Macaca mulatta: one gene and its partner. The protein of the gene in region 2 binds, or shares a complex with, the protein of the main gene of each other region. Links are inferred from orthologs where the notes say so. Each region holds a gene or a part of one and is shown on either strand. Other genes may lie near its edges.

Region 1 (4,544 bases), on a different chromosome or scaffold from region 2:
TCTCATATGAAAAAAAAAAAAAACCGGCTCTCAAAATCCAGGTCCTGCTCTACCCATCAGTTCTCCTCTCTTCCCAGGGGCCCTTCTTAAATGAGTTGATCACGTTCTTCATTTCCAGTTCCTTTACTCTGGAGTCTATAACAATCTGGCTTCTACCCTCACCTTTCCATTGAAATTGCTCTGCTAAACTCACCAATGACCTGCTAGTGTTCAAATCCAGTGGAAACAATTGTGCTCTCCTTGCCAGACCTCAGCAGCATTTGAGAAGGTAGGATAGAGGCAGACAACGCAGCCATAAAGGGTGGGCTCAACATGCACAGACTACACACAGTCCTGGATCTATGGCCTATATCCACTTGACTCTGAGCAAGGATTTAACCTTCCCAAGCCTCAATTTCTTCAACTGGCAAATGGGGATCGTAATAGTCACACTCTTCCTTGGTAGTGCAGTGCACAGCCCGCCTGCCCTAAGCAGTGGCCCTAGATCATCTCTAGACCTCTATATCCTCATCTGGAAGTCCCACAGGCATTTCCAACTGTTGGGGGACCTGTCTCTGTCACCTCACTAGCCTCAGAAGTAAGTCTTCAGAAGCAGAAACCATATGCATTGTGCCTAGCATATAGGAGGTATTCGAGAAATGCTTATTGAATGAACGAAAGAATAAGTGAATGAGTGTGAACTCACTGAGTAAACTGTAAAGTGCCATGCAAATGTAAAGTGAACACATTCTCTTGGTTTGCGTTTCATTTTTTTTTTTTTTTTTTTTTTTTACTTTTTTATAGAGACAAGTCTTACTGTGTTGCCCGGGCTGGTCTTGAACTCCTGGCTCAAGTGATCCTCCCACCTTGGCCTCCCATAGTGCTGGGATTACAGGCGTGAGGCACCACGTCAGGTCAGTTTACCACTTTCGCAACCATAATTTCATCTGAGGCTCATTACAATCCTGCATCCATTCATTCTACAGTCACTTCTTTTGTGTTCACTAGTGTATCTCCTGAGCTCTCAGGACAGTGCCTGGCATGTAATAGGTGCTCCATCAATGTTGTTGAATGAATGAGTGAATGAATGAATGGATGAATACTGTGAAAGGCATGGCTATGTGGTAGGCACTGGGGATATACTGGTAAATAATATACACATGATTCCTGCAGTTCAGTAGGAAGAACAAATACATGTGATTATATTTCTAAACTGTGACAATGCTATGAAGGAAATGAGTGGGGTGAGAGTTAGAGAATAACAAGGTGGGGAGGTGGCTGCTAAGAAGGGTCAGAAAATACCTGTTTGAGGAGGGAACATGTGACTAAGTTGGAAAGAATGAGAGTGAGCCACACTCCAGGTAAGAGCGTGCCTTCCTGGTGAGAAGGCCTCGTGCAGGCAAGAACTGGCTCTTTGAGAGACTGAAAGGAGGCCAGGATGGCAGGGTCTGGAGGGCCACGAAAGAGAGAAAATATCTAGGCAGGGTGTGTTATTTTAGATGAAGACACGGAGGCACAGAGAGTTTAAACCGCTTCCTCAAGGTCACCCAGCAGGTTAGCAAGAAGGTGAATCCAAGTGCTCTGAGTCTGGGCTAGGGTGCTTCCTGCAGCCCTCGCTACCTATGAGCTGGATTTAGGGAAACAGAAGGTGACCTGGGAGGCTGCCGGGTGTGGAAGCAGAGCTGGAAGGCTTGTTCTCATAACAGGAATCTAGAAGTTGGACTTCAGGCAGGCTTCCCTAGGCGTGGTAGGGGAAGCCTGGGGAAGTCCCAAAGGAGGCGGTTCCCCAAGAAACGGAATGGACAAGTAGATTGGGGAGGGCAAGTTGTCCCAGGGCCGGGAGGTCAGAGACCCTGGGGGACGGGATAATGGGGGTCTGGAGGGCTCCCGGAGCTTTCCCCAGTGAGGATTCCCACCAGGCAAACCATGAGACACCTCCGTGTCCTGGGTTAATTACCATTGTCGATGTTATGGGGAGGTATCGCTGGCTCCCCTTTGGAAAAATAAATGTAACCCCAGGGCTGCATGAGACTATCCTTAGTCACAAAATGACCAGGCTCTGGCCTGTCCCCCTCCACGAACAGACAGAACCCCAGTTGGAGACGGACTTTGTCTGGTGGATGTTGCCTCTCCCTTCTCTGCAGACCCGATTCCCCTCCTCTTCCAGGTCCCCGCTACAGTTCAATTACAAGTTTCACCCCGGCCTCCTGTGTCACCCTGAGTTTTTGTGAAGTCCTAAATTGGCCTGCTAGTGGGATTTGAGTGCAGTGATTCGCCCCGACCCGCCCAGGAAAGCGTGGTGGGTGGAAGAGAGGGCAGGCCCCGTGAGTTCCCCCACGCTCGAAAGGAGTCCCAGACTCCGGCGGCGTGTAGGTGTCGCAGGCCTGCGGGGTCCTGGCTTGCGGCTTCCCCACTGCAGCCGCGCCCCAGCGCGCCGCGGGCCAGCTGCACCCCTCCCTGCCCGGCACCCCGCCCTGCCCGCGTCCTGCCGCGCACTTCCTACCGTGGGTCGCTTCCACTCGATGCCCCGGGTTTTGCTGGAGTAGGGCCCCAACTCCTTGAAGCCCAGGGCCGAGGGGATGGCTGGGAAGGAGGGGTCCTGGAAGAGCGTCCCGGCCTCCAGGCACTCGTTCCGCAGCGCCTCATAGTCCTGGTTGAGGTACTTGATGGCCCTCTCGTGGGAGCCCAGCCCCTCGGCCGCCTCCCGGTCCTTCACCAGCTTGGCCGCGATGCCCGCCATGCTGCGGCCCCGGCGGCCGTGCTGCTCACAGAAAGGTCGGGGCGACTTCGCGCTGCGCTCGGCTGGGGCGCGGCCAGGGCCCGGCGCGCTGCTGCGGACACTGCGGGCGCAGCCACTGCGAGCGATGATTCACCGGAGGGAAGCGGCCCGGCCCGCGGGGTGTGGCCTCAGCCGCTCCCGGCCTGATGGGCTCCCGGCCCGGGACCAGGCCAGCCTGCGGCCTGCGGAGCGCCGGGACCGCCGCGACCCGGGGCCGGTGCTGCCATCTGCGGACAGCTCCCGGGATGGCGCGGCCTGGCGCCGGGAAGGCTCGCGAATCGCGGTCCAGAGTTGGGGCTCCCACCGGAACCCGAGGCCACCTTTACACTCAATGGGGAGGAAGGCTGGGCGACACCGGAGGCTAGGGTAGTTGTGGCCGTCCAGAAAACACCCGGGGAGTTAGCAGAGGATCAGGTAGTGAAGTTGAGGAAACTAAATCAGCTGCCCTGAACCTTGTGCCAAACACCGTCTTAACGGCTCTGCATACATCATCTCATTCAATCCTCCCAGCAACTCTGAAGAAGGCACTGATATTGTTCCCATCTTACAGATGAGAAAACTGAGCCTCAGAGAGGCTAAATGACTTCCCAATGTGGCACAACGGTCACAGGCAGAACAGGGACTCTAAGCCACGGAGGCCTGTTGCAATCACGATGCTGCAGTTACTACTGCTCAGCTGTTTATTTGATTACAGATAGGGTTGTCAGATTTGGCCAGTAAGGCTGGGCGCGGTGGCTCACGCCTGTAATCCCAACACTCTGGGAGGCTGGAGGCAGGTGGATCACCTGAGGTCAGGAGTTCGAGACCAGCCTGGCCAACATGGTGAAACCCCGTCTCTACTAAAAATACGTTGTGGCAGGTGCCTGTGACCCCAGTTACTTGGGAGGCTGAGACAGGAGAATTGCTTGAACCCAGGAGGCAGAAGTTGCAGTGAGACGAGATCGCGCCACTACACTCCAGCCTGGGTGACAAAGCAAAACACCATATCAAAAATAAAATAATATAATATAAAATAAAAAGATTTGGCCAATAAAACAACAGCCCTCCCAAATGTTTAATTTGAATTTCAGATAAACAACAGATACTTTTAAAGTATATGTAGGCCCCAAATATTGCATGGGTATACATACTTATACTAAAAGAAAATATGATTCATTGTTTATCTGAAACTCATATTTAACTGGTAGGATGAGTTGGGTTACTGTTGGAGAGGGCTTAGAATAGTGCCTGTGTTGGCTACTGTGACCACTCTGTTGTGGAGTCAGGGTGTGATTCTCAGCTCACACACAGAGACATGGGTGCGTGCCAAGAAATGCAGATGGGAAGAAATTACCTCCTCTCCTTCTCTACAGTAGTAGGAAGGAATTTGGGTTTCACTGGAAAATTGTGCATGGTGTACAGCAGTGGTTCTCCACTGGGGCAGTTGTGTCCCATATCCCACCCCAGGAAACATTTGGGAATGTCTGGAGATAGTTTTTATTGTCACAGCTAGGAGATGAGGTGCTACTGGCCTTTACTAAGTAGAAGTTAGGGATGCTACTAAGCATCTTACAATGTCCGGGATAACTCTTGTGAACCCAGAAAACCTGAAACAGGTCTCAGTTAATTTAGAAAGTTAATTTTGCCATGGTTGAAGACGCACACCTGTGACACAGGAAGCCCTGAGGACACGTGCCCAAGGTGGTTGGGGTGCAGCTTGGATTTATACATGTTAGGGAGGCAAGAATCATCAATTAAGTACATTTAAGAAATACATTGGTTTGGTTCAGAATGGCAGGACAACTCA
Region 2 (4,453 bases):
AAAAGTCCAGGAAATGTACTGGAAAACACTCAAGAAGAAATATCTCAAGGGAAATTGGAATTCCCAATTCTTAAAAGTATATGTATATTGTATCTTGATTTTTGAATCTAATTAGTCCTCACCAATACTTATGTAGTGCATATGATTTCTATTTTACAGATGTGAAAGCAGATGGAAAAGGTTGACTTATTTTCATTTAAGAAAAACTCTTTGTTCTCCACAGTGTACATGGAGGCTTTAAAAAGAACTTGTAGGCCTGGTGCAGTGGCTCATGTCTGTAATCCCAGCATTTTGGGAGGCTGAGGTGGCAGGATTGCTTGAGACCAGGAGTTTTAGACCAGCCTGGGCAACATAGTGAGAGAGACCCTGTACAGTGTATGTGTGTGTGTGCATATATATATATATATATCCTATAAATATACACACATACACACACTATACATATATACTATATATATAGAAAGGGAGAGTAAAAAATAATCTAAAAAAACCACTACTTTTGGGATATAATTCTGCCTGGCACATAGTAGATGATCAATAAATGTCCATTGTCTGATAAGTAACAGTTTCTTTCTTGATTCTTATACAGGGTTTCTAGCTCTAAAGTGTGTCTGTTTCCAACATCTTTGCTTTTTCCAATACCACATGCTAAGAAAAAGACATACCTAACTAATTTTTTAATTCTCACCATAAATCCATGAGACATAAACATTTTGGCTCTCACTGTCAACAAAACTGTGTGTGGTTTTGTTTTTTGGTTTTTGTTGTTTTTGGAAAGCAGTCTAATGTTAAATCATGCTTCCTGGTTCCAAAACACTACAAGTGCCAGCTAGACTGGATATCACACCTAATTGGTAGGACAGACATTCAATGCACCAAACAAATGGAACGTTCTTGTCCCTCATCCAAAGTAATAAAGTGCAGAGCAGTTCGCATTTGTGCGCGCTCTCTCTCCCTCCCTCCCTCTCTCTTTCTCGCTTTCTCTCCCCAACCCCTCCACCGCTCTCTCCAAGGGTCTTGGTCTTAGATCTCAGTTGCTTCTAACCCTTGGTGTTTGGGATTTTCTCCCTGCCTCACATTGCATCTACCTTTCCTTTGCTTAAGGGTTAAAAACGAACCCTAGATCTAAGCTCTTGCGAGCTGCGTCCGAGTTCATTCAGGAATCCACCTTCTAGACAGAATTCCTCCAGCAACAATTCCAGTTCCATCCCACTTGTGAGCGCCAGCAGAGCACAGTGCTTGACACAGGGGCGAGAAAGGTGCATGCGCTGCTCACGCTCGAGCGCGCTCACACATACCACAAGAGGGTGAGTCCCCAGCCTCTCCCGGAGCCTAACCTGAAGGTCTGTGAGGAGGTCGCATCCGGTTCGCACCCGGGCCGCACCCCTTCCACGCCAAACCCCGGACAACGCTTCATCCGCACGCCCAGAAGGGCAAAGCAAACACATTCCCTTCCAACACACTCCCTTCCCAGTCTTGCCCAGGCACAACCGCTCCTATTTACCGTCTTGTACCACCAGCTGGCGAATGCCATGGCAACAACCGGCTAACTCCGATCCGCACGGCGGGGGACCCAGCGAGGGCGCGGGGTGCTGTGTTGGAGGCGCCGGGCTCGCACTCTGCCTGGCCGGGACCTGGCTGGCACTGAACTCGGCACATCCCGCGGCTGCCAGGTGGGCAGAACCCTGGGGGTGGAGCCCGGCGCAGACCCCGCCCCTCCCCGCCCGCCCGATTTGGCTCCTGCCTGGTTAGGGAAGAGGCTCTGCGTCTCCAGGCAGCCACGCCCTGCGGCCCGGCCTTAGCGCGGAAAACTAGATCCCGCTGTCCAGTGAAACCAAGGCACTCACTCGGGGGTCCTGAGTGAACCTCATTCCCCGTTCACCCACGTCTCACCAGCCAACTTTTCTCCACGCGCCCCCACTACACTCTACCCGGCCAACGCCACGCCCAGCGCACTGGACCCGGCCGGGGAACCGCAGACACCTCCAGCCACCTGCCGGACAGCGGCCGAGCCCCGAGCCCTCTCCCTGCCCCGCAGGGGCGCCGGGGGCGGCAGACCGGCCAGGCTGGCAACGCCCAGGGAGGGCGGCCACAGCTCCGGGACCCGGTCCCCCGTCGCCCAGCCCCGCGGCGCCGACAGGAGCGCCACTCACCTCCTGGGTGCGGCGGGCGGCGGCTGCGCGCCGGGGACGCGGGGAGGCGGCGGGCTTCTGGCCGGGCTGGGACATGGCGAGGCCGCTGCGGGCGCTGCCTCCGGGAATGCGCCGCGGAGAGTGGCGGGGAGGCCGGGCGGGGAGTCCTGCCAGGGAGGGAGGGAGGGAGGAAGCGGAGGGCCCGGGAGCGCGCGGTGAGGCAGCTTTTCCGACCCCACCCCAGGTCTGCGCCGGGGTTCCCCTAGCCCCGATGGGCCCTCCCCTTCCTGCCCGTGGAGGGACCCGGGCTCCTGCCCTGTAACTTAACACCCACCGCCCCGGTCCTCACCCGGTGACCCTCCCCGGTCCCAGCACTGCTCGGGTTCCGGTTGGTCAGAAAGAAGGGGTTGGAGGTTACATCGTTCCTCCTTCGATGCCCAGATCTATCTAGCAGTTGTGCAACGAGAGAGCGGGACCCGGGCGTGGCCAGTCTACGCTTCGACCCTCCTCCCAATAATCCGGAGAAGTAGATACTCTTTCTACATTCTTCTCTGCTTTAGCTGTGAGAGTTTACCAACTCAAATCTGGCCCAAGCCTGGACAGTCTAGATAAGGAAGCGGATCATAAAAACAAATTAGTCTGTGTGTGTGTGTGTGTGTGTGTGTGTGTGTGTGTGTGTGTGTGTGTAAGTGCGTGCACGCGCCTGTATAGGTCGTATATGATTTTACTTTGTTTTTTGGCAGTTTCGAATTTTAATAAACTTTTATGGGGAGGAGACCATAGGTTCCAATGCCAAGCGGAGAACAGTCCCAAATTTAAACCCTTATTAAACTCTTATGGTCTTTCTAGAGTCTGGCGAGTTTTGTTTCTGAAGCTAGATTGCTTTTGTCTTGGGCTCATCTTAAACAGCACTTCCTGGTTTGGGGCTAGAAGTGAAATTTAACAAGCCCTACTAGGACATGCTTATGTGAGAGACTGTCAGCCTGCAGTCGCTGCTGGTTCACCATCAGGCCTGACAGAAAACCTGTTTGTTACCCTGCAATAGCATCGTCATTTTGGGACTTGGGGTCACCGCTGTCTGCAGTGTTGGGATTTAGACAGTTGAAGAGAGAGAAGGCAGATTTTTTTTTTTTTTTTTTTTTTTTTTTTGAGACCCAGCCTGGCTCTGTCGCCCAGTTTGGAGTGCAGTGGCGCGATCTCTGCTTACTGCAATCTCTGCCTCCCGGGTTCAAGTGATTCTCCTGCCTCAGTCTCCTAAGTAGTTGGGACTACAGGCGCGTCGCCACACTCAGCTAATTTTTTATTTTTTATTATTTATTTATTTATTTATTTATTTATTTTGTAGAGACGAGGTTTCACCATGTTGGTCAGAGTGGTCTCGAACACCTGACCTCAAGTTATCCACCCACTGTGGCCTCCCAAAGTGCTGGAATTACAGGCGTGAGTCACTGCACCCGGCCAGAAGGCAGATTTTAAGGAGAGATTTGTCATGCTGTGTGGAGCCTGACAGAACAGAATTCTGGTTTCCTTTCTACCTCCTCATTTTAGAAATTCTGACTTCTTCCTTAAAGGATAGGATAGCAGCATTCTTAATTTTGAGGGAGGGGATGGGGGGAGAAGAGGATTTAAATGCATTTCCTCTTAAAGGATTCTACTTACTGCCTGTGTATCTAGCATTTCAACAAACAGGTAGCACTGCAGGAATTTATACATAAAAATGAAGCAACTTAGATATTGGGACTATGTTCACTCAGGAAAAACAAATGTTTGTTGGCATCGGTTACATTCAGAAAGGAGGGAAAGTATGCCATAAGTCTGAAAACAAGATCTTCTTATGATTGTGACCACACCACTACAGTAATTTTAAAAAACACAAAAGCTGTAGGGGTGAGGTGACAGGCAGCTCCTCCTTCCTGGCCTCCACCCCAGGAACAAGAATGATTTTCTTACTGGGGAGCCTACATGTCCCAGATTCAAGGTTTTAGATCCCTGGAGTACTTTATTCAAACTCTGGAATAGTTTCCACTGACTTGGTGGCATTAAAGTTTGAGGTTATTTTCCAACAGAGTATTTAAAAATTGAGTTTAACCCGGTTATATATTTCTTGAGAGTATTGTATGTAAAGCATTGTGAAAGGACTAGTAGAAGGAGAGATACAGAGATTAAAAAGATACATTGCCTGCCCTCCAGGGACTGACAGTTTAGCTGAAGTCATATGGCATTTGTAACACATGATTGTTTAGGGATATTGAAAGACATAACAGTGTGTGAATAAGTACAAAGGTGCTTTGGGAGTTTGGGGTTCCACAGGGGTTGTATCA

The links.
Region 1: the proteins of CAST (region 2) and CAPN2 are in contact, whole or in part, in a crystal structure (PDB 3BOW), measured with the Rattus norvegicus proteins. The link is inferred for Macaca mulatta from reciprocal best matches to the Homo sapiens genes CAST and CAPN2. Residues at the interface, in NP_445747.2 of Rattus norvegicus: Glu571, Leu572, Asp573, Ala575, Leu576, Asp577, Glu578, Leu579, Ser580, Ser582, Leu583, Gly584, Gln585, Arg586, Gln587, Pro588, Leu596, Asp597, Asp598, Lys599, Val600, Lys601, Glu602, Lys603, Ile604, Lys605, Ala606, Glu607, His608, Ser609; in NP_058812.1 of Rattus norvegicus: Glu62, Leu63, Ser68, Lys69, Gln99, Gly100, Ala101, Leu102, Gly103, Trp106, Lys161, Asp162, Leu165, Leu166, His169, Ser196, Gly197, Gly198, Thr200, Ser241, Asp243, Ile244, Thr245, Asp249, Ser250, Glu251, Ala252, Val253, Val259, Lys260.

Annotation. Positions count from the first base shown.
Region 1 is NC_133406.1:81,524,048-81,528,591, reverse strand, and holds the start of CAPN2 (calpain-2 catalytic subunit), read right to left. Parts: upstream 2,854-4,544; 5' UTR 2,720-2,853; coding exon 2,483-2,719; intron 1-2,482. UniProt on the Homo sapiens protein: Calcium-regulated non-lysosomal thiol-protease which catalyzes limited proteolysis of substrates involved in cytoskeletal remodeling and signal transduction. Proteolytically cleaves MYOC at 'Arg-226'.
Region 2 is NC_133411.1:103,011,993-103,016,445, reverse strand, and holds the start of CAST (calpastatin), read right to left. Parts: upstream 2,826-4,453; 5' UTR 2,482-2,825; exon of another isoform or gene 2,467-2,481; intron 2,300-2,466; 5' UTR 2,229-2,299; coding exon 2,154-2,228; intron 1,647-2,153; exon of another isoform or gene 1,535-1,646; coding exon of another isoform or gene 1,505-1,534; intron 1-1,504.